3 linked regions of the Struthio camelus genome follow. Each later gene encodes a partner of the first gene's protein in a complex. Links are inferred from orthologs where the notes say so. Each region holds a gene or a part of one and is shown on either strand. Other genes may lie near its edges.

Region 1 (7,636 bases):
TCCTAACTCCAATTCTGACTTCTTTGGGCCAAGGAAAATCATTGCTAAGAGTCAAATACGGAATGGGGTCCATCATGGGCAGTGTTACAGCAAAACAGAACTTCAATCGTAGTTCTGATTTTTAGTTCCTATTAGCACACAGTAAATCAAGCATAGTGAACAATCAGAGCATTACACTATTAGGTTAGCAAACGAAAGGTGTAGTTAGAGAAGAACTCTTCCACCATTTTGTTATTATTTACTTCACTTATGTTATTAACTTTACTCACTTCTGCCTCTAGTACAGCTCCATATTCGTATGGTCTGATCTTTGCTTCCTGAAGCCAGGTAACAGCCTTTCTTCGCAGCCGTATCTTGTGTCAGCTCCCCATTTGGAACTTCACTGTCTTCTAAAGGAAATATCGAATAGCGTCAAAGTCGTGTTATACTTTAAAACTGAAAGGTCTGTATAAATCAGCTGAAACTATATTGCTCTGTATCAGAAAACACCGTAGCTTAACTCATCAGGTGCCTTTGATTAGCTACCACCTTTCTATGAATAAGGAATTGAGTTGCCTAGAAGGAGGATTTCAGTATGAACCAAAAACCACTTTACGAACTATTAATCGTTTCTACGTACCTTGGAGCTCATCTTGCCAAGCAGGTAACCTTTCTTCACCAGGCACAGGGCACCAGGCCAGACAGTGTATTTCATCGTCATGGCCTCTTAGCCGATGAAGAACTTCTCTTTTCCTGCTGATATCAATTATAACCACCATGCCATCCTTGTAGCTAAAAATAAAGATTTAAGTTAATGAAGAAACTCTTGGACCCTTGTGGAATAATATCTGATTTGATTTCAAAGCTTGTCACTGAGATTGTTATCATTATCTCCATATTACAGACAGGGAAGCCAAAGCACAAGCAGCAATGGGACTCGCAGACTAACGATCAGCTGGAGCTCCAGTTTAGCACTGGAATACACGCAACTGCCTTTTCAGGTGCAATTACACGGTACTTTTGGCTTCATGAATGTCATTAGTAGTATTGCTTCCACAGACCTGACAAGCAACAGTCGCTTTTCTACATGGAAAACCTTTCCTTTTAGAAACACCACTTTCATTTTCTCCCTTCTCTTGTGTTTGTTCTCCTTCAACAAAACTGCGCTCTCAAGTTTAAAGGGCTTTCATGTTATTCCTTGTTCGTTCAATATGGTCTTGGGCATCTAAGGGGCTGGAATTGCAATGGCTGAGAAAGGCCTAGCAAGACTAAGAAACTGTTCAAATGAAGTTACCTGTAATATGACAAAGACCAAAGAAGTCTAATCAAAAAAATATTAGTTTAAAATAACTTCAGAGATTCAAACCAAACCCAGACCCTTAAATTTTTATAGAATTCTATGTCTTTCATGTCTATCAAATCTGAACATTCTTTCTGGGTTGCCGCGTACCAGAAACCAAACAGCCACCAAGACCTCTTAGAAAGCAATTGTGCAATTGTTTAACAAGCAAAAATCCACGACAAGGACCTTTCAAAAGAAGAATGAGAAGCAACAAAACAATTAATATTTACCCAACAGCCACCAGGTTTTCGTCATGAGGAGAACAAGTGAGGCAAAAAATTGTCCGAGGCTCTGGGAAGAATTGTTGGCTGTCATTTCTGTTATGCCAGTAACAAACAATTATACCTTTCTCATCACCGGATACAACCAAATCTTTCACAAGAGGTGACCAGTGCAATGCAGAGATTGTATTCTGAAGAAACAGAATCAAAGACGTTTAAAGGAGTCTAGGATGTTGTTCCACTAGATTTATTTCATACTGTTTAAAGAATTAAAACACAGAACACAATGAAATGCATAAAAAGCAGCTTCTTTTTGGATGGAAAGCAGACTACGTTACTCTAACAGCCTGCCTTCACTCACTAGCTAGAGATTACCACCTAACACAGAATAACAAAGAGAAAACAATCTGCAAGTACTCCCCAACATCAGCTAAGTTTTAAACTGCTTCCGTTACTTTGAGCTTTGACATGTTTGGTGTGCCAATACGCTGCCATTCCAGTTAACTTCTTATGGGCCATGGTATCTCCCAGCAGCTGAGGCACAGTAACTCACCACACGTACCGCACGTGTGTTCTCTGAGGAAGAACAACTTGGTGAGGTGATGTTAAGTGAGCTGTGTTAATAGGCATGCACCAAGTGCATTACTCGCTCACTGAAGCTCTGATGATACCTGACAGCTTATTAAGATGCTATAACATCACTATAGACCTAAGCCCGGAAAAAATAGCTACCCACAAGAATTCAACAGTCCTGACTCCACCAGTTTCGAAATCCACCTTTAGTTGAAGCAATACCCGCTGCTTTGTGCGCCAGTCCTACAAGGCAGATCAGTGAGTTTTTCTCTCAGCGTTTCCTACGCCCCGGCGAAGATGGGCACCGGTGTCCCTACCTGGTGCAACGTATGCTCCGTCACCGGCGACAGCGTCTGCGTGTCCCAGACTTTCACCGTCCCGTCGTCGGAGCTGCTAGCGCAGAGCCCGCTCTGCCCGGGGTGGTGGCAAAACGCGAACCCGGAGACCCTCTCCGTGTGGCCGACGAGCTCTCCTGCGCGGCAGCGGAAGAGCGGGATGGAAACCTCCTCGGAGGGCACGGACCCCACGAGGGCGCGGCCCCCTCCTCCACGAGGGCACGACCTCCCCCCCACCCCCGAGGGCCGCCCGCCCCGGCCCCGGCCCCGGCCCCGGCCCCCACCACGTGCGCGGGCCGCAGGGCGGCGGAGGGGCGGCCCCGCCGCGCTCTATAAAGGCGGCGCGGAGCAGGAGGGCCCGGGGCGGCGTCAGGGGGCCCGGTCACCCCCATCCTCTCCCACCCCACCAGGCCCCGCGCGCGCGCGCGCCGGTACCGTAGAAAGCGGGCGCGGCGGTGCCGCCACCGCCGACGTCCAGCAGGCAGATGCTGTGCCTCGCGCCGAAGCCGAAGAGGCGGCCGTCCCCGCTGGCGTCGCTGCAGCGGCTGCTGTACCAGTTGGGCGAGGCGGGCAGCACCCGCGCCGCCGCCGCCATGGCCTCGCCGCCCCGTTAGCCGCCTCGGGCGCTGCCGAGCGCTGCCGCCCAGCGCCGCGCACGCCGTCGCAAAGCTGGCGGCGCGCAGCAGGCCGCGCGTGCGCCGAGAGCGCCTGCCGTAAGGCGAAGCAAGGAAGATGGCGGCGCGGCGGGTAGCGGCGGCTGGTGAGAGTGAGGGGTCGGGAACGGCGGCGGCGAGGCGGGGGCCGGGGCAGGCCGAGCCCGCCGCTCCGCCGCTCACCTCGCTTCTCCCTTGCAGGTTGTGCCTGGCCGTGGGGCCTCCTCGGCTGGGCGCGCCCGGAGAGGTGAGTGCGGCCCGTCCCTCCGGCTCCGCGGGCTCCGGGTGCCCAGCGCCGGGGGCCCGGCCCGGCCCGGCGACCGCGGGGCGCGGAGGGGAGGGTCGGGCCGGGCCGGGCCGCATCGCTGCGTGCGTCGGTAGCACCTTTCTCCGCGCCTGGTCATAGCGGCACGACGGAGGCGTCTCTCTGCTCTGGTCCTGCCCGCGCAGCTCCCCTCGTTCCTCCCGCCTTCTGGCGCACAGCGGTGCCAGAAAATTCCCCTGGCTCCCCAGCGGCCTTTTCCGTAGTTGCTGACCTTCCCGCCCCATCTGCACGGGTGGGGAGGGTGAGTCTGGGGAACGCGGGGCTCTGCTGGCTGTATTCCAACTTCAGAAGAAAGGCTGGTGATGTGGATTTTCAAAGGGCAGAGCTATGGTCTCGGCTAAAGCCTGTGGAGGTAAACGAGCGAGCCGTGTCTCTGAAGGAAGAATAAACATGCTTGTGCTTTGCTTACTGCCTTGCAGTTGAACTAAGTTGCATGCTGATGGCTTGTGTTTTATTGAGTTCTTCTATGTCTGCTGCTTACTCCTTATGCACAATTCCTGCTATAAAGCTTCTTTTTTTCTTTCCTTCTCTGCTTGGTTTTGTGTATGTAACGTAAATACTTTTGTTGCTTGTCATTGTCTTCTTTGGCTTGTAGTCTCTTTGTGTCCTCTTCTGCCTGCTGAAAGCACTACAAGTAGAGTTGCCCTCTACATACGCTTGGATTACCTTCAATTTTAAGCTCCTAAATCCTTAGTCTGTGAAATGCATTAATGCGTTCTGCTAATACTTGGAAGATAACTAATTCACTGCTATCTCAGCTAATTCAGTCATCAATCTGCACCATTGTATATTTTTGTTCTATATTATTCAATGATATTGTCTAGTGATGATGAATTGTTGACTTGCTGTTGAGTGAAACTCAAAGTATTAAGCAAATAATGAAGCTAGTTTTGATGAATACTGGCTAGAAGAGTCCATAATATTTTAATTTGCACGTTACGCTACTTCCTGTTGACCAAATGTGAAAATTTTTAGTCTGTGCAATGCTCTCTTGCAACTAAGACATTGTATGCTATTTGCCAAAAACTTTTAAATTGCTTTGATGCACAGTCTGGCAGTGAACATAAAGGTCTTCAAGCCTTAGACTTTGTAAAACTCACAGCATATCGTCTTGACCTTATCTAGATTCTTTTTGGTTAGAGATTAATGAAAGGATAAGGATAAATTGGTATGTCTTTGAGATTCATTTGGATGTGTGGGCTTAATCATATGATCCGTGATTGCTAATCTTTATTCTTATTTCATATTAACTTATGGAGGCAAATGCAAAAATACTTTTGTAGTTCATTTATTATTATATTGTAGCTATATCAGGAAGGCTGCTAGCAGAATCTGGACTCTGGAGAAAAGACTGTCTTTTGTTCGAACTGCGTGTTGTATTTCCCACCTTCAATTATTCAGTTAGTCTATGAGAGTACCTAATATAGGGATGGCTTCAGTGAAGTGTTCTAAATACTTAAAAGGGAATTGTTATTTCCCTGCCGCCAATATCTGCCAATTCAGAAAAAGAAAAATGTCATTCAGTAGTTGCTTGCTTTAGAAACTTTGATTGCAAGGATCACGTATGCCAAGAGGAATGTGGAAATACGGCTTTTTAAAGACAATTCTGAGGTAGTGTGTCACTTACTTGCTATGAAACTCTACTCTGTGAGAAAAGGAGACTGATACCGAAATGGTGCTTCAGAAATAGCTAGTGTCATGCCAAAACTTTTGGGGCTAAATGTCTTGCTACTGTAAGGTATGGGGAGGGGGGGGATTCAACTCTGACAACTTTTTCCCAGCTCTGACAACTTTTTCCCCATACTAGCAGTTTTTCAACATGAAAGCATTCTGGTCTCAGCAAGCAGACAAAGTGGAGTAGAGTTGCTCGTTCTGTTTCAGTCTCAAGTTGAAAGGGAGGAAGAAGACTAGTAACTAGCAAAGCATGTGTTCTAGTTAAGGCTGGAACAGACACTTAGAAAGCTCAAGGTATGTTTTGATTGCAATACTTAAGTGTCCCAATTTCTAGAATTGGTTTTCAGTTTCTAAAGCATTTGATGTTACATTCTAATAGAATATACTCGGTCTTTGACAAACCAAAATGGAGAAGACGCCTTGGTTTGTTACCTCTTGCTTTCAAGCTTTGTTTCCTCTTGACTCCTATTTCTTGTAGCTTATAGTTACGACTGACTGCCCTGTATCATTTTATCTAGACAACAGGGGGCAAAATGTAGCCTAGTCTTTCTGAATTGGAGGTGAGAGAACTGACTGAAAAGCATAGAAATAGTTTTTCACTGTCAATTATCTTATTTCACTGCCTTTTTAAAGAAGTTCTGAAATAACTTTCCTTTCAAATTTCAGACAAGATGAGTGTATATACAGTTCTAAGACTTTGGTAGTCAGTCCTTGAAAAGCTAAAAATTACTACTGCTAAAAATTTTTAGGTGAAACTTAAAGTATTGGCTGATCTTAAAAACTGCAAACAGTGGGTTCATTATGTTGGTAATGAACCCCCCACAAAGAGGCGATTACATCTCTGTCAGGATCAGCGGATGCTCATTGTGGCATCTCTTGCCACACAGATGTCGCTTAAGATCATGGCTTGCTTTAGGAAGGCTAAAGCTTCCTGCCCAACTGTGGGAGACCTTTCAGTATAAAGGCTCAAATAGTTTCATTTTGTGAGCTGTCAACTGTGACAGACATTCACTTTATCCAGACTGGTAAGGATAAATTCAACAGGCACACAGAGTTTTTGTATTCAACAGCAAAGGTTGTGGTCTTGTTTTGCAGGTTTTTAGCATCTGGTAGTGTTTTCCCTCTGTCATGCATCCACACAAGCACACCCCTGGAGAAACTTGGGAAGTGGGAGAAAAAGAACAGGATTGTTTACCCTCCACAGCTGCCTGGAGAACCTCGCAGACCAGCGGTAAGAATGCACCTATAACTTTTGGTACCTGTCTATATGTAACGATTTCAGAATACAAGGTCATTGTCTCAAGATCACCCTACGAGGCGCTAATTTGAAAGCTTATTTATTTGGTGTTAAGATTTTGGTCTGTTTGGTGTATTTATATTGTGAAAGCCAGAGAAGTTAACTTCACTTTGGATGTTTCCCACCTCTAAATTTTGTTGGAACTTCAACAGCTGATCAGCTATCTAATGTGTGATGCGTAGTGCAAAGATATCGTCCTCTCTTTGTAGAAGTCTGAGCTACAAAGAGGCAGAAGTTACCAGGAACTCTCAGTATACACTTGTCCTATTCATGCTAATAGTAGGTAACTAGAGAAGAAGGTGACTGTACTGTTGGTTCTGTGCACAAAGCTAGAAAATCTACTTCTAAGTAGCGGAGCTAATGGTGTACATTTACTGTAGATGCAGTAAAGTGCATCATCTTTTCATTTCTTAATTTATTTTCTTACAGATTATCTGGGGCCTAATAAGGTGTGACCTCTTAACGTGGCCTTTCTCCTAACAGACTTATTCGTAGGCTGTCTTCTGTCTTATTGCTTGCTTGTTTTGTTTTCTTGGATTTGTTCGGTATGGACTGAGAGATTCTGAAATTATCAGAGAAGAACACATGAATCGGACGTGATATATGACTGCAGAAACCCCTTTCCCTCAGGAAACCAGTATATGAATACTGTACAGCGGGGTTGTTTCTTCAGACTCTTTGCATAATAATTTGTATTTACTAAGCCATGAATTGAAGGAAGGAATCTAATATCCTTTTGTCACCTAGATCCTCAATGTAGCCGTCTTCCGTTGGCCAAAGTAACTTTTGCAAAAGTCAACTTAAATAACATAGTCGACTCTTTCTATAAAGTAATGACAAATAAGATTATTTTTTGATAACTGCAAGTTCATCCATGTTTCTTCTCTGTTGTCCTTCTCTTGACCAATTTATAGCTGGAAAGTACAGTTAAAAGCAAGCAGCAGCAAACCTCTTGTTTTAGAGTTCTGCATGAAAACTGAGTGTTGTGTATTTTGTCAGTGAAGGGAATAATCTATGGTTCTTTCTCTACACCACAAACTGAGAATTTTTAGGTGAGCTCCTCAGTATTTCCTTATACTTCTTGACAGCTGCCTTTTTGGATTTCCATTTTTGCAATCATACTTCCTTGGAAAGTGTTATCTTTTGTCCTCTGCTTGGCATACCGCTAAGCGGAATAATTTGTATCTCAAAAGCATAAGGCCTTTTAGCCACGTGCTTCTGTGGGTCATGAACACTT
Region 2 (7,168 bases), on another chromosome or scaffold:
TATTTCCGTCCCAAGAACTATTTCCGAGGGGAATGGCTGAGAACACAGCCAAAGCAATTGTCACAACAGAAGAACCTAATTTTCAGTTAGCCACTCAAACTGAGCCACCCTCCAAACCTGCTTTCCCAGTTTTGCTCATTAAGGATTCTTTTTTAAAACAATAAGTGTATGCGATAGCCCACCTAAATTAAAAAACAAACAAACAAACGCACCGTGCAGCACCTGCCTGCACGCAAGTCTCGTGCAGCTTTATCGAGATGGCTAAAGCATCGCTGCTAAACCCTCAGACCGTGGCACAACCGCGCAAGCGTCAAAGGTGCAGCCCACTTTGCGAGAAGTCGGAAGCGAGACTAACTTCAGGCCGGCGGACCCCGCAGCAGGCGGCGGCCGGCTCAGGCAGCCCCTGAGCCCCCGCGCACCCCCCGGGCCGGGCCGGGCCGGGCCAGCGCAGCGCGGACCTGCCGCCCGCGCAATGCCCAGCGCCGGCCGCCCGGGGCTCCTCGCTGCGGGAGGGCGCCGTGAGCGCCCCCAGGCCCCGGGGGGCGGCGGGGGCAGCCTCCCACCGTCCTGCCTCGCAGAGCGGGAGGGCCCCGCAGGCCCCGAGAGCGGCGGGGGCCTCCCGCACGGGCGCGCCGCGGCGGGGGAGGAGGGCAGCCCGCGCGGCGCCGGCCCACGGGCTCCTCTCGCCGCCGCGCAGCCCCCAGCCCGGCGGCCGGCGCCGGCTCCCCGCACCGCCGCCGCCGCGGCTGGGGGTGGCCAGCGGCCCGCTGCTGCCCGGCGCTGCGCCGCGCTGCGCGCTCACCGCGCGTCCCGGCCGCCGCCGCCTGCCTCGCGCCGCCCGCCGCTGCACCCAGCCGCCCCGGCGCTGCCGACGCAGCCAACATGGCTGATGGGAGAGTCCGCGCCACGTCAAGGGGCAGAGAGCGGCGGGCCGGGGGCGGGCGGAGCTCCCGCCGCCTCCCCTCCTCTGCCCCCGGCCCGGCCCGGCCCCGGCGCCGCGGTGCAGGCGGAGCTCTCGCCCCCCCGGCCCCGGGACCCGCTGCCCGGCGCGACGGGAGGCGGCGGCCGCCGCCATTTGTCGCCCCGCGCCACTGCTTTTACCGTGTGCTTTATCTTCCTGAGGGCTTCTTTCTTCTTGCTTTCCATGTGCTGTTACAATTTCAGATTTCTCCTAGAGATAGTTTTAATCTTGCTCTTTAAAGCTGTTTGGAAAATAACGTGTTCCGACCACTAGAGGGAGCGGGGCCTTCTCCGCCCCTGAAACGCATTTAGTTCTCCCTCGCTGTCCGGCTATTCCTGAGAGGGACCACCTGCATTGTATCTCCTAGCCCGTTGTACACCCATAGGCACCGGATAACTACCTTTACACTTGCATATGGGTGTACTTCTCTGTTATTTCTTTCTTCTTTTTTTTCCCTAGGGTCCATTTCAGGTAAATCCTCAGGATCAAGAGAGCTCAACCGGTGTTCTCACAGTCCTCACGTTTGCCCAGCCTGTTGTCTATCTTCCAACATGTGTATTTATGCCAACTTTTTATTCTGGAAAACTGTTTACATATTGTCTCAGACTTGCTGAGATAAATATATTGAACCTAGACTCTTGGTGGTTTTTAACCTGTTGCAGCACTTCTTCTCACATTTAGACATATTTAGAAATCTAATGCATGTTTATTTACTCTCTGCGCAGTAATTTCCACATATCCCTACCTGTACAGAGTTTTGTTAAGCCTTCTGGGTAGTGTGGGTTTTTTCTTTTTTTTTTTCCTTCAAAGACAAGTTATAGTGATACTTAGGTTTCAGGGCACTTCAGAATTACTTTAAACAAGCCTGAGACAAAAGGCTAAAACAGTCTGAATAAAACATTTACTTCTGTCTTTCATGATAAATCTTACTGCAAGTGATCTAGACGAGGGGGAGGAGTGAGAAACATTCTATCTAAACAGTCTATCTTGTCCTTCGCTGCAACTCTGAAAATATGCAGTGGCCACTAGCCAAATATAAACGACCAAATTGTCTTTATCCCCATTTGTTAGATATCAAATGTGATTACGACAGAATTCCTATGCCATTACTATCTCCAGTATTGTTAGCCCCTCCTCTTTAGGGCCTAAGAATATGAGCATGTAAACAAAAGTGGATTTTAAAGGGAGCCAGTTAAAATTTCTCTGTTCTCTAATCTCACTGCCAGTTGTGGGAGTATTGAGCTGGAGATCGTCAAGGCCATGTAACCTCCCCAGTTTGTGAACAAGGGTGGACTTCAAACAGATGCAGAGCAAGCAGTTCAGTGTTACACTTTTGAAAGCGCTCAAATACTCTGGTGAACGTTTTCAGAAAGGCATGATACAATGAGAGGAGGCAAGTCCCAAAGTCAAAATTGCAAGATGACCTCTATGGAGGAGGAGAAGAAAAGATAACTGAAACATTTAAAGAAGCTTAAAAGGGAAGAAGGAACACCTGGAAAGTTTAATATTCTAAAAGTTCAATGAAAATAAAAGGCATACAGTATTTTTATCAGTCATAAGCACAATTATTTAATTACATAATGACTCAGTCCAGCATCCTAAGCTTCCTTTAAGAAATGTGATGGAGCCGTTAAATGTTGATGGATACCACAGAGAAAAGCAATGGGAAGTGGAAAAATAGAACAGAAAGTTGTACTCATTATAATGTACTCATTACAAGAAAATATTCTTTCTGTTATCTCTCAATATTAGAATGTACAGTAATGGTATTCTATTTTTCTCACTAAAGATTGTTAGTTTGTGTTAGATATTTTTTAACTCAGCAATGCATATCCACTGATGGCAGCTCACCTTTCCTTTGGAAAAGTACTCTTCCATAACGGCGAGGCAGCTGAGAAGGAAGAACATTTAGTTCCAATTTCTTTTTCCTCTTTCTCCACTGAGTCCACTTTGACAGGCACCACATCAACATTGTTGGTAAGACTTGTTAGGAACAATTTTGTTATCCTAGGAAGACCACCTGTAATAATTCAAAATATTTCATTTAAAAAGTGACAGTGGGACTGTACCAGAAAAAGTCATCTAAATATAAATAATATTTTATATTTACAATGTATTTATATCCACAGAATGTCTTTCTGTTCATAGTTCTTGACTTCATGGCAAACAGAAGAAAAGTGCTGAATATTATATAAGTTTTAGAAGAAAACTTTTTACAGCTTGACTCACCAAAATTTTTGTCTACACCATTGGTCAGCCTTTTCAGAAATATCATTGCAGTTTTAGCTATGCAAGTCGTATTTCAAGTGATGACTGCACTTGTTGCATAATCAACTAGGAAGTTAGATCCGGGTTTCAGAGTTAAAACACCTTCTTACACGTAAGTGGTTTTGGAAACACCTTAAAACAAACAAAAGTCAGTGCAGAGGAGGAGTTAAGAGTTAGTGTTTGTTCAGAACTGCTGAAGTACAGCTTTGTAGGAAAAAAAACATTTATTTTCAAAACTTGAAGCCAGAACAGTCTAGAGCTGCTCTGCTCTACTCTATGGACTGAAATTAGTACGAAACAGATTCAGCACACTGCAGAACTGTTAGGGAAAAAGAATATATAGACTGAAATTTGTCCTAACAGGAATTCGATAATACACAGTTCAAATGCATCATCCTGCTTTCTATTTGTTTTGCACTTTGAAGCAACGCACCTTTGTGTTAGCGCTACTTTGATTTTGATCTGGCATATGGATATATGCATAGAGAATATATATATAAACCCATACAGCAACAACAACAAAACCATGCACTGGCTCTTCCAGAAAGAGAACTATGCTTATTAATAGCACTTAACTTTTACATGCCTCATTTCAACCATAGATCTCCAAACATTTAAAGGAGAGAGCAAGTAGTAGTACTCTCACTGCACTGGTGCAATAGAAAATATTAATAGATGAGTTTTGTTTTTAAAGAACCCCTTGAAAATAACAAGGTACATTAGAATGATGGCATAGAGGCTAAAAACGGTTATTAAAGGTTTGCAGCGGCGCAGCGGCGCAGGGCCCCAGCCTCCCACGTCTCGCGAGACCGCGAGCCCGCGGCCGCGCCAGCCTGCGCAACGCCTGTCGCCTCCCCGCCGCGCGCATGCGCGCCGGCCCGGCAGCCCCGGCGGCGGGCGCGAACGGTGGCGGCCGCCGGGAGTGGGGAGGAGCTGTCGGGGCGGCGCGATGGAGTCCGCGGTGGAGGAGCTGATGCCGCGGCTGCTGCCCGTGGGCCGCTGCGACTTGGCCGAGGACTTCGACCCCACGGTGCCTCCCAGGACGCCCCAGGAGTACCTCAGGCGTGTCCAGTGAGTGGCGGCGCGGAAGGGCCGAGGCGCGGCCGGCCGGGGTGCCGCCGGGGGTCGGGGCCGGGCGGCGGTTGGAGCTGCCCGGGCGCGAGGGGCCAGCGCCGCGCCGGCGTGCGCAGGCACGGCCAGGGCTGCCGTGTCTTCCTGAGAGCTGATAGCGACACGGGGCGCTGCCAGAAGGTAGCCAGAAACGTTACTTCCCCAGCGTTTCCTCCGTGGTCGGCTCTCTCCCTACGTGAGATGTCAAAACGCATCTTTTTTTTCTGTGAGGCTCGTTCTGTAAGAGCTCCTAACGCTTCGTGGCACGCTGCCGTCTGTCACTAGGTGTTTCTGACAGGCTTGTTGGCCCGTTGGGATTTGCAGCGCTCGGCGCTGGTGCTGCGCGCTTCTCGCAGAAGGATGGAGGGTGCATCTGTTAGCTGTGTCTACCTACCCCTAACAGTGGCCTCCCGCCATCTCCCGCATCCCGGTACGGGAAGCATAATCTGTCTCACTTCAAGCAAGCTTCAGGCAAGCTAGAGCAATCGTCCCTAGTTTATTCTCAGTTTGAGAATACTTAACCTGTGATACATTAAGAAATTCTCAAGTTACACCTTCCATAAGAATTGCTAGTATAATCAGTGGTGTTTTTTTAAACACTTGAGAATTTGTGCAAGTGCCATAGTTTAAAGACACTCAACATATATAACCACCTGTTACAATACAGGAACAAATGTAACCATTTACTTTTGTTTTGTAGGATTGAAGCAGCTCGCTGCCCAGATGTCGTTGTGGCACAAATAGACCCCAAAAAATTGAGAAAGAAACAGACAGTAAACATTTCAGTAAGTTTGAGAGGTTTTGCACCTATTATTTTGAGGGGGGGGGGAAGCAGAAAATATATTTATGTTAAAATCTCTGTATTAATTTTTTGGGATAGTTGGCCTAAATAAAACAATAGAGTTGCTGTATATTAAAAGCATCTACAGAATTCCATGAAATTTCAGGGTTTGAAGAGACGGTTGTTGAATTACTGGATAACAACAGTCTTTATAACTGTTTTAAATGGCTATTATCCATGCTATTTAATAAACAGCAGGACTTATTTTACTGCCTGAGGAAATTAAATATTGCATTAAATTTTATAAACATTTTCTCATAAAACCTGTGTAAGCTTTGGAAGAAAGATACTCATACCTCTGTTCATATATATATATATATATATATATACACACATATATATGTATATTTTTACATGTGTGTGTGCACATATATATATATTTATGTGTATAGAGGGTGATGAATGATAGTAAGTGTAATAAATACAGCTAAGGTTTACTAATGTTAGATGAAATTCCAGCACCAATTCTTCCATTTTTGGTAGGATATTTTATTGAAATTTTTTCTTATTGCTCAAGCAGATCTTTCTGTTGTCACATGCCCTGGTGTTTTTTGTTTGTTGTTAATTTCTTTACTTCCAAATAGTTCAAGCAACAGAGTTTGTCTTCCTCTGTGGGAAACTGTGATCTGATATTTTACTATTGGACTGCTCAAGAGAAGTTTCTAAAACTTTAATGTGCTCTGACATATGACCATGTCATTCTTGTGACCATTCTCTTCATTTGTCTCATCACTTTGTAGTGGCATTGTTAAACATTTGTAGAAAGATTCTTTTCTTAAAATAACTCTTTAAAGCTGGTTACTAGAGGGGTTATATGTCTACTTAATTTTCAGAGTTAATTTCCAAAAAGATATTTCTGCAGTCTTCTCTGTCTTCCTCACCTTATTAGCTGAGCACATAGAACTCCCAAGATAGACAGCATCTGTCCAAAGTAAGGAAATAACATCCTCCTTTTTATAAATAGGGAAATGAAAGCAGAACAATTGCAAGGAAAAAAAATATATAAAAATCTTATTTTGATAGCATATTTTGAATACTTAGTTTTTCTTCTTATTCGCGTTATCAGAAGAGTCAAATGGGAAACTTTGCCTCAACCAGCTGTCAAATCATAGTCTTGTACGTGGTCATGAAATCACCTTTTTTCTAAAGAGTATATAAATGACATTTTTATCTGATAGTAAATATTTGCTGATGCTCTTGCTCTTAAGGATTCTTTTTATAAAACTTTCTTTACATTATAATTATTGCCAGTGTTTTCTTAGATTTCTGGATGTCAGCCTGCTCCTGAAGGATACTCTCCAACTCTCAAGTGGCAACAGCAGCAAGTGGCCAATTTCTCAGCTGTTCGTCAGGTACAAAATGGTGGGGGGGAATGTTTGCAACTTGCACTGTCTAGATAGAACACATCTTTGCTTTATGGGGGACAACCTTATATACTTCCTACCATAAAGTTAAAAGATTCTATAGCAGATGTTGGTAGATAACTGTTTTAACTTCTGACAAAAAATCAGTATATAACTGTATGGCTTTAAACTTTTGATGAAACTCTCAAGAGAGTTGTGGTAAGAGAGATCTGTTAAAGACAAAAAATGTTCATTCAACTGTATCAAAAATATCCAGCTATATTTAGATTAAATGATGTAGAGTAGTTGAGAGAGGACAGAAATCCTGATGTTATGCAGTTATGAAAACCTAGAACTCAGCATCAACTGAAAAAAAGGTGGATTGTAACCCACCATGAGATTTATGTATACACTGTATTGCACATTCATATAATACACTGCCCATTTAGGATACCATTGTCACTGGTGGGACCCATGATGGGGAGAAATATTGATTTGGCAAAATGCATTTGTAAGGTTGTGACATTTGCACAGATTTAAATCTTTCCTACCGCGTTTATACGTTGCTTTTAAATAAGAGAACTAAAATGAAGAATTGAATAGCCTCTCTCGATTCACAGTTCTGAGTGAAATGCAAAAGATAAA
Region 3 (8,344 bases), on another chromosome or scaffold:
ACATGGCAGAACATCTGGATGCAGACAAAGGACACTTCCTGTGTGGGGTTCATGTCCTCGGCGGGGGGCACGGGGGGCACCGTGGTGCTCTTGATGGAGCCCAACAGGTCCGTTAGGCTGCTGCAGTACAGCTGGACCACGTGGAGCCAGGCCTCTGCCGGCAGCCAAGTGGAGCAGCTGGAGCTGCAGAGGAGCTGGAAGCCTCGGAGGAAAAGCACAGAGAACTGGAGGTAGTGGGCAAAAGGCCGGAGGTTGAGCAGGGGCATGTACTGGACGTACTCCAGCGTGTACGGCACATGTAAGACTTGCCTCTGCAGCAAGCTTTGGACCACATGCGCCAGCCTCTTCCATTCGCTAAGGCTGCACCAAGGGAGGACCTGTATGAGGGCCACCAGGAACCCTTTGCTGAAGAGATTCACTTCTTCAGGGTTGTCCACGTTGACCGTGAGGAGCGTCAGCATCGTCTCCCTGAGCGCTGTGGACACGCAGCAGCACTCCATCCATGCCAAGAGCCCGCTGCCCGGCCCGTAGGCTGGTAAAGGCCGGGACGTCCACTCGTCCTCTGGGAGCTTGCAGATCTCAAATAGCGTCTCTGGGACCTCATTCTTGAAATGGTCTCCGTAAAGCTTCTTCAGGTGGAGACCAACAGTCCAGTCCAGTGATGCCAACTTCCTATGAAGCCAAGCCAGCGACTGGACCCACACCTCAGGGGATGGGGCGGCTTCTGGTCTTACCACTTCACAGAGTTGGGAGAGGGTGTTCACCACCAGGTCTTTGGTCTCCAGTGAAGGGAAGTGCTGGTCCCTGGGCCGATGCCAGTACCTTGTGTAACCATCCAGAAGCTTGCAGAGGCTGAGGAGGAGCGGGAATGGGTAGCAGGACTTGATCCAGTGCTCTTCTGGATAGGACTGCATCCCCAAAACCTTACTGAGGATCTGCAGGCTCAGCTCAATTTGAGCGCAGTCTGATTTCAAACAGGGAAGGATAAAGGCTTTAGTCACCTCTGCAGGTGACACAAGTGGAGCTGCTGAGCTTGGCTGCATGAGAAAGGCCAAGAACTCAAGAAACTGTTCCTCTTCTCTCGCTGTGGAAAGCTTCCCCCATACCGCCTCCTTCAGACACCTCACTATCAGACTGCGTGGCCTGCCTGGATCATCGTGGGTCTCCAGGAAGCTCAGTGCTGGGAAGGAGCAGAGGATTTGGGCAAGGAACTGGTGTGTTCCTAGGTTGACAACAGCAAGATTACAAACCTTCTTCACGGTGGCCTCAGGGTACAGCAGAGTGAGCCTGGCCACAGAAGCCACAGCCCTGGACAGGCCTTGATCGGACACGCTCTGCGTTATCTGGTTGAACGTCACATTCAGATCCTCCTGGAATCCCTCCATGACAACCTGCAAGTTCAGGGACAGACCCGGACCACCCCAGGAAGCCAGGACACCTGAGAGGACTTCATTCTTGTCAGTTAATGAAAGCTCAGTGTAACACTCCAGGATGGCTCTGGTCACTTGCATCTGCAACTCTCGGGCCTCCCTGTCTTGGGAGGACACAGTAAAGTTCACCACAGTATCCAGCAATTTCAAAACTAGCTCTGGTTTCTGGAAGAGAGTTTTGTTTTTCACAAGGCAGTCAACCCAGTCCTTTGAAAAGGCCCAGGTCTGTTCAGAAGCAAAAACGGAGCACATCTCCACGTGCCGGTCCAGCTTCCGCTCAATGATTGTCATGGCAACTGAAGAGACAAGGCTGGTGTCTGAATCCTTGCTCTTCAGACTGGTGCTGATCTTCTTGAGAAAGTCCCCGATGATCTGTGTCAGCTCTAGCACTACGGACTTCTCGTCCTCGCTCAGGTCTCTAGTCTCTGAGAAGCAAACCAGGTTCTTTCTGAGGGTGGTAAGCGTATCAAGGAGCCGGTAGCTCTCATAGCAGAGCTCCTCAGAGTTGTTCAGAGTGCCCTGCAGCTCCTCTCCCCAGGCATGCAGCAAGGTGCGGAGAAAGTCCAAGCCAGCAAAGAGCTCCTCGTCAGAGAGCTTGACGACGGACAAGAGGCTCATGCTTCTCTCAGCCTCCCTCACTTTCTCGTCCAGCCCTCTCCGGTGGTACCGGCTTTCAGCATCGCTGTTCCAGAGGCTGACCACGGAGCTGACCTTGTCCAGGTACTCAGCAACGGGGAGGGACCTGCCCTCTGGCTCCAGCTCGGTGAACACAGAGAGCAGCTCCGCCAGGTTGGCCAAGGCGTAGCACCTCATGCGGGGCAGGGTGATGCTCCTGTAGGTCTGTTTCAGCCCCTCTATCAGGACCACGAGCAGGCTGGCGGCAGCCGGCGGGCCAGTCACAGAGACAGGGTCGCTCTTGAACCTCTTGGGGGGCTGGAGCCCGTCGTCCGGAGAGGACTCGGACCCGTGCTGACGGATGAGAGCGCTGAACGTCGAGGCCGTCCCGTCCTCCTGCTCCTCCTTGTGCTTCATCACCTCCCACCACACGTCCAGGAAGAAGCTGACGTCCGCCGGGGAGGTCTCGCTGGCGACGTACTCCACCAAGCGCTCCAGCTCGCCCCGGCGCAGGTGGCGGGGCAGCGCCAGCAGCAGCTGCACGAAGAGCCGGGGCACGTTGAGGGCCTTGGCCAGCTCGAAGAGGACGGTGTGGTTAACGTCGGGGATCATCCGCCCGACGGAGAAGAAGGCGTCCTCCCGCCAGCCCCGGTCCAGCGAGGCGGGCGGGGGGCCGGGCAGCAGCACCTTGGCCCACACGATGGCGACGGCCTGTTTCTTCCAGAGGCCGGGGCGCGGCGGGGCGGGGCGGCGGGCGCCGATCTCGCGCAGGGCGTCGGCGATGGGCGGCCCCACCAGCGGCCAGTCGGCCTTGCGCAGCTCCCGCAGCGGCCGCGGCTGGAAGAGCTTGGCGGCCAGCAGGAACCCGCCGTGCAGGATGGCCATCTCCTCGCACACGCCCCACGGCCCTGCGCGGGGACACGCGGCGCACCGTTACCCCGGCCCGGCCCGGCCCGACGCCCCCCCCCCTCCTCCTCCTCCGCCCCCCGCGGCCGCCCGCGCTCACCTGCCTCCATGGCGGCCCCGGCCCGCGCCCCGCGCCGCCGCGCTCTGTGACGCCAGCGCGCCGCCGCCGCCTCAGCGCCCCCTGGCGGCGCGGGGGAGCTGCCGCCGCTGCGCTCCGCCGCCTCAGCGCCCCCTGGCGGCGCGGGGGAGCTGCCGCCGCTGCGCTCCGCCGCCTCAGCGCCCCCTGGCGGAGCGGGGGAGCTGCCGCCGCTGCGCTCCGCCGCCTCAGCGCCCCCTGGCGGAGCGGCGGAGCTGCCGCTGCCGCCGCCGCCGCCGCCTGGCCGGTTCCCGGACAGGGGGGGTGTCACATCCCCCCCCCCCCCCGGGGCAGTAGGAAACCTTTAACAGCTCTGGACGATCTATTTGGGGTCGTGCTACTTAAAAGCTACTTTTCGGACGTGAAGAACTCCTCTCTGCATCTGCCGTGGTTTAAACCCGCGCACGGGAAGGCTCCCCCGCTGCCGGTGCAGCCCCGGGCGGTGCCTGGGCTTCCCACCAGGCCAGGCAGCGAGTGGAACTTTTTTCCCACCCTTTTGACACAACTTTGCAATGATTTTTTTTGTTTGCATGAAAGGCGTTGAGAATTACATTAAAACTGGCAGAACATTGCATAAGAATGCCCTGCAGGGTAGCTGAAAGAACAGATCTCAGATCATCGTCACCACAAAGCACTTTTATTCATTTAATTGCACGTTTTCAAAACAACAGGCTGTGGAGATACAATTTAAGTGTAATATTTTTACTTGATCAGTAGTTGGCTTAATCGAATGAAACAAAAAGCGCAAACAACATATTGAGGATTTTTTCCCATTTTAATTCAGCATATTCCTCGTAAGCATTTAAATTGTCTCAGTGATACACAACTGCTAATGCTGTTGATTTTGCCTCCTTTTTTCTGTAAAACTTATTTCAGGTTTTCATGAAGAAAGATTAAAAGCCAGCTAGCCTGCCGAACATGAACAATGCTAGTAATGAGTCCCTGTATTCCCAAGTTCTCATTCCACTAGCAAAAGCAGAGCGACTTTATTCCAACCCATAAACCCATAACCATTGCTTCCAAAAGGTAATTTAACATCAAAGCTAACTGCAAAGCCATGTGTACGTATCTGAAGTTACTTCCTGGCCCCTCAGGGGAAGGCACGGAGCTGTTGCACCCCCCGAGGCACAGCCAGGCTCCAGCCTGGAACGTGCGGTGCTGTGTGCTGCGCTGAGCAGCTACGCAGGCAGGGGCTGGGTACGGGATCGAATACATCCAGTGGATTCACGTAGTATGACCCCAGTGAGAAATCCATCCAGCTTTCCAAAGTGCATACTTCACCGTGAAAGCCAGGCAAAGATTTTGGAATGAAAATAATTTTCCAGACTAGAATATTCACATGCATCACCAGGATAGTTACCCTGTTCTCAATAAATAAGAGTCCGCTATCATAGCTACAAAATGGTCAAGTTCTCTGTAGACACCCCCTCAGCTTCAGCTTGAAACTTCATCACCAAAGCAGGACAGCTGCCATATTCAGGGCCAGAGCTACCTGAAAACCTATTTTCTGAGCAGCAAATCCAGGTTGGCCAAACCCAATTAACTGGAGGACTAGATAGTCTAATAAATCCACAGATTCTAATGAATCTACAGATTTATTATAGAATAAGCTTTAATAGTACCTGCTCTCTGACTCTACCATTGTTGATAAGCTTTTGACATGGAAATTTTCTCCTTAACTTATCCCATCCATTAATGGGAACAGAATAGGCCTTTTCCACGTAATATTCTTATGTTACTATTGACCTCACGTTTTGCTTTAATAGTGAATGTTTGAGAACATCTGTAAATAGCTTTCATTTCATCCACAAACTTAATTCCTATTTTAATTCTTTAATGAATATAGCCAATTAATTAGGGTCCCACTTTTTAATTATCTTTTAATACCTTTGTTTCAATACATCAGAAATTTGCCTCTGGTGACATTAAACAGGAAAACCGTAGAAGCGTTATTCACTCACAACCATGGCAGAAGGCTAACTGAGGACAGCTGCTCACAGCACGCTAACAGCTGTTAACAGCGCACTACACAAGATATCAGAGAGCTGTAGCAGTGTTAGAGGAGAAACTCTGGGCCTCCTTTTCAAGTCTAACAGGAATAGAGAAATGTGAGAGATTTTCTACCTATTAACTCATGGTTCCTGTTTTTGAAGCCATATGCTCAATCTGTTCCTTACTGTACAACCCAATTTTTTGCATACATTTGAAGGAGCACGTAGCATTTACTGGAAAGGAGAGATTAGCATTAAGAGATACAAGCTCAAAAAAACCCCCAGCATTACACTGGCCTCTTATTGAAGAGGATAACACAACACGTTACATATTATAGGCATTTCACTCAGATGGCAACCAAGGCACAAATGATCAGACGAGTCTTATTCTCCAACTAAGCAGAAGCCTTCTTCATGTTTTTCTCTGCAAACCATTTGTCACTCTTGTCTGCTGCCATGGCCTGTACAAAGAAAAATTTTAGTATTTAGAACAGAAGCCCATTCAGCCAGACACCTGGTTGCTGACATTCACCAGCCTGCCCCACAAATTTAGAAAGCATCCTTATAATCAATCTAGTTCTGAAGCAAGCTATTCTGCTGAGGAAACCTCATGGTTTCTGCCAGTGCCTCTCTGTCGCGGAAGGATCTTCAACTGCAGGGATGTTACTGCAGCTGACAAATCATTTTCTGCAGTAACTTGCACCAAAGTGTTGTTTGACAGGTCCAGCAAGATGCACAACCTCTTGGCTGCCCTGAGAACAAGGCTGGAAAACTAGCCAGGACACAGAAGTGAACTCTAAAAATTGATTTGCTTTCCTTAGCTGGAAAGGAGACTGAGATAAAACACCACATGACTTGCTTCTCTGAAAAAACTCCATTTGGAACTAAAGGGAGCTTCCTTGGAAAGGAAATTAAATTCTACTGGGCGTCTAACTGATCAGTATGAAAACTCATGCATAGACAGCATTACTTACATCATCTAACAGTTTATCACCATTAGGATCCACCTTGGACAGATCTCTAAATGCTTCATCTCCCACAAAGCAGATTTCATGGCCATCCTAAACCAAGTTTAACAGCACAGTAAGTTAGATAACTGGGAGACAGATATTTAAATCAAATCTGTCAGTCTTGCCAATATTACTCACAGGATCCGCCAAAATAATCACTTGCACTGTGGCTTTGCCAGGTGTGTCCAAGCTAACTAGAGGTGTTAAAATTTTCTGATGCTCCTTTTTCATGAGTGCTTCAATGTTTGGCAACTGAAACAGAAAAGAAACAAGACCAGCCCTAGTCAGTTGAAGATCAGATGCATTCAGGTTGTTCTCGTTTACAGTTTCCTGTTAGCCCGTTTCTCCATTGTGTTCTCACTGCAAGAAATAGGAACAGAACATCTGTTCAGTGTTACTTTGTTCACATCTGAGATATTTTGTTAATACCAGAAAATAATCTCCTAGTAGCCAGCTGGCCAAATGAAAGGGGGAAGAGAAAAAAGATTACCTCTTCCTTTGCGCAGGAAAAGGCAATCCGCCCAAATGCCGTCCCATGATCCACTGCTCCTCCAACGTTCTTCAACTCCAATTTACACTGGAAGAGGAAAAAAATAGCCTAATTTGCAAGGACACTATTCTCAGCGCTACACTTAACTCCAGCTTTTCACTGATACCGATGATGTCAAAACTACCCACATACATATTTCCCAATGAGTTAGAACTACCAGAGCAAGCCATAGCTTTTGGTTAAAAAATGAATTAAGTGCACACAAGCACACACACACACAAACAATCCAAAGTAGGAAAGACTGAGAATTGTTGACAGTTTCAGCCTTTCTTTGCAAAACATTGAACAAGTAAGTTCACTTGCAGGTAAGTGTCTCAACGGAACAGTCAACTTGTACCACTGATTTCTATTTGTATAAGCATTCTGGGCAATAATTCACAAAGGAGAAATGCTTTTAACAAATCATTTAAAATGTAAACCCAGAAGCATTAACAACCGTGAGAATCTCTTCTCTTGCAACGTGTAAGAGGTAAGATAGAAGCAGGATGCACTAATAAAAGCTAATGTTGAAAAGGTCAGAGAAACACTTGTTTTTATGAAGAGCTTTTCTCCTTTAAGATTTTGTTCTCATGAATAAGAAGCTTCTATCACGAAATACAACTCTTAAAGATCAGAACTGGAAAGTTTTCTATGAGACTAACCTGGTTATCTGCATAGCCTAGTAAAACCCTTTGCTTTTCCTCATCCTTCTCATATATTTTCATCCCAAGCAAATTAGACCAGTAGTTAATAGACTTCTGCAGATCGGAGACACCCAAAGTTACCTTTAGCACAGGATCTATAAGATTGCAATAATTTCACATTAGTTACAGAGATACTGTAGTTTTAAACTCATTGTTTTACATTCTCGAGATGAAGAGAGAAACAACAAGGAAATGAAACAGAAACATGCTCCTGTTTCATAAAACGTTGCAAGCCAAATGCACAGCCAATTCCAGTATTCCACTTGTAGGCCTCTTTTGAATGTAAGTAAGAGTAAGCGGACATGCTTTACCTTGCTTTCGTTGTTCTTTGTCTTCCAAGTAGAACTTGTATCCTCCCGGGGCCTCAGTTTCAAATATACCAGTGGCAACTTCGCTGAGGGGCCATCCCAGCTTCTTAGCATTGCTCACAGCCTGGCTGGACACAAGTGTTATGCCCTAGCAAGAACAGAAAGGACACATACAAAATACGCTGGTGCGAAGATGACTGAGGTGCCTCTCTTCACCGGCTTGCACTAGCACTGGCCCTCCAGTTTATATGCATCGATAAGGAGAACTCTGTCTTCCTCCCTTTCACCCTTCCAGGCTACATTAGCCACAATCTTGGATCCAACCTGTGGTTGTGGTCAAGGAGATCTGACCACCAGACAGAGTGGATGGTGCATAGTTCCCCCCTTTGAAATAATCTGCCTCTACATATGAAGACCGGAAGCAAATCAGATTACTTTTGCTTAGAGATAGACTATATGATCTCCTGAGAAGCTGGTATCTTGCTCCTGCAAAGTAAGTGTAATCTGACCTCTCATCCCACATATACACTGAGAACGCGTTAACTTACTCTTCTTTCACATCAAAGGGAAACGAGAAGCAAAAAGGATTTAAAAGCCTGATACAACACACTGTACAGAAGCAAAAAACCAAATTCCTAACCGTTCTACCATGGTAGGTAGACATCTGTGGCCCTGCATCTGTCCCTTGACACCTCTCAAAGTAGGGGAAGAAAAT

Evidence for each region.
Region 2: GEMIN5 (region 1) and GEMIN2 share a complex: the UniProt entries of both Homo sapiens proteins name them as parts of the SMN-Sm complex. The link is inferred for Struthio camelus from reciprocal best matches to the Homo sapiens genes GEMIN5 and GEMIN2.
Region 3: GEMIN5 (region 1) and GEMIN4 share a complex: the UniProt entries of both Homo sapiens proteins name them as parts of the SMN-Sm complex. The link is inferred for Struthio camelus from reciprocal best matches to the Homo sapiens genes GEMIN5 and GEMIN4.

What each region holds. Positions count from the first base shown.
Region 1 is NC_090954.1:11,969,475-11,977,110, reverse strand, and holds the start of GEMIN5 (gem-associated protein 5), read right to left. Parts: upstream 3,151-7,636; 5' UTR 3,046-3,150; coding exon 2,886-3,045; intron 2,588-2,885; coding exon 2,433-2,587; intron 1,734-2,432; coding exon 1,552-1,733; intron 772-1,551; coding exon 620-771; intron 390-619; coding exon 270-389; intron 1-269. Other genes in the region: MRPL22 (large ribosomal subunit protein uL22m), read left to right, coding at 3,183-3,210, 3,305-3,350, 6,198-6,333. UniProt on the Homo sapiens protein: The SMN complex catalyzes the assembly of small nuclear ribonucleoproteins (snRNPs), the building blocks of the spliceosome, and thereby plays an important role in the splicing of cellular pre-mRNAs.
Region 2 is NC_090946.1:57,112,110-57,119,277, forward strand, and holds the start of GEMIN2 (gem-associated protein 2), read left to right. Parts: upstream 1-4,042; 5' UTR 4,043-4,178; coding exon 4,179-4,300; intron 4,301-5,039; coding exon 5,040-5,124; intron 5,125-5,650; exon of another isoform or gene 5,651-6,102; intron 6,103-6,442; coding exon 6,443-6,532; intron 6,533-7,168. UniProt on the Homo sapiens protein: The SMN complex catalyzes the assembly of small nuclear ribonucleoproteins (snRNPs), the building blocks of the spliceosome, and thereby plays an important role in the splicing of cellular pre-mRNAs.
Region 3 is NC_090957.1:18,137,043-18,145,386, reverse strand, and holds the start of GEMIN4 (gem-associated protein 4), read right to left. Parts: upstream 3,127-8,344; 5' UTR 3,062-3,126; coding exon 3,052-3,061; intron 2,954-3,051; coding exon 1-2,953. Other genes in the region: GLOD4 (glyoxalase domain-containing protein 4), read right to left, coding at 5,474-5,539, 6,053-6,139, 6,227-6,340, 6,579-6,665, 7,280-7,416, 7,633-7,777. UniProt on the Homo sapiens protein: The SMN complex catalyzes the assembly of small nuclear ribonucleoproteins (snRNPs), the building blocks of the spliceosome, and thereby plays an important role in the splicing of cellular pre-mRNAs.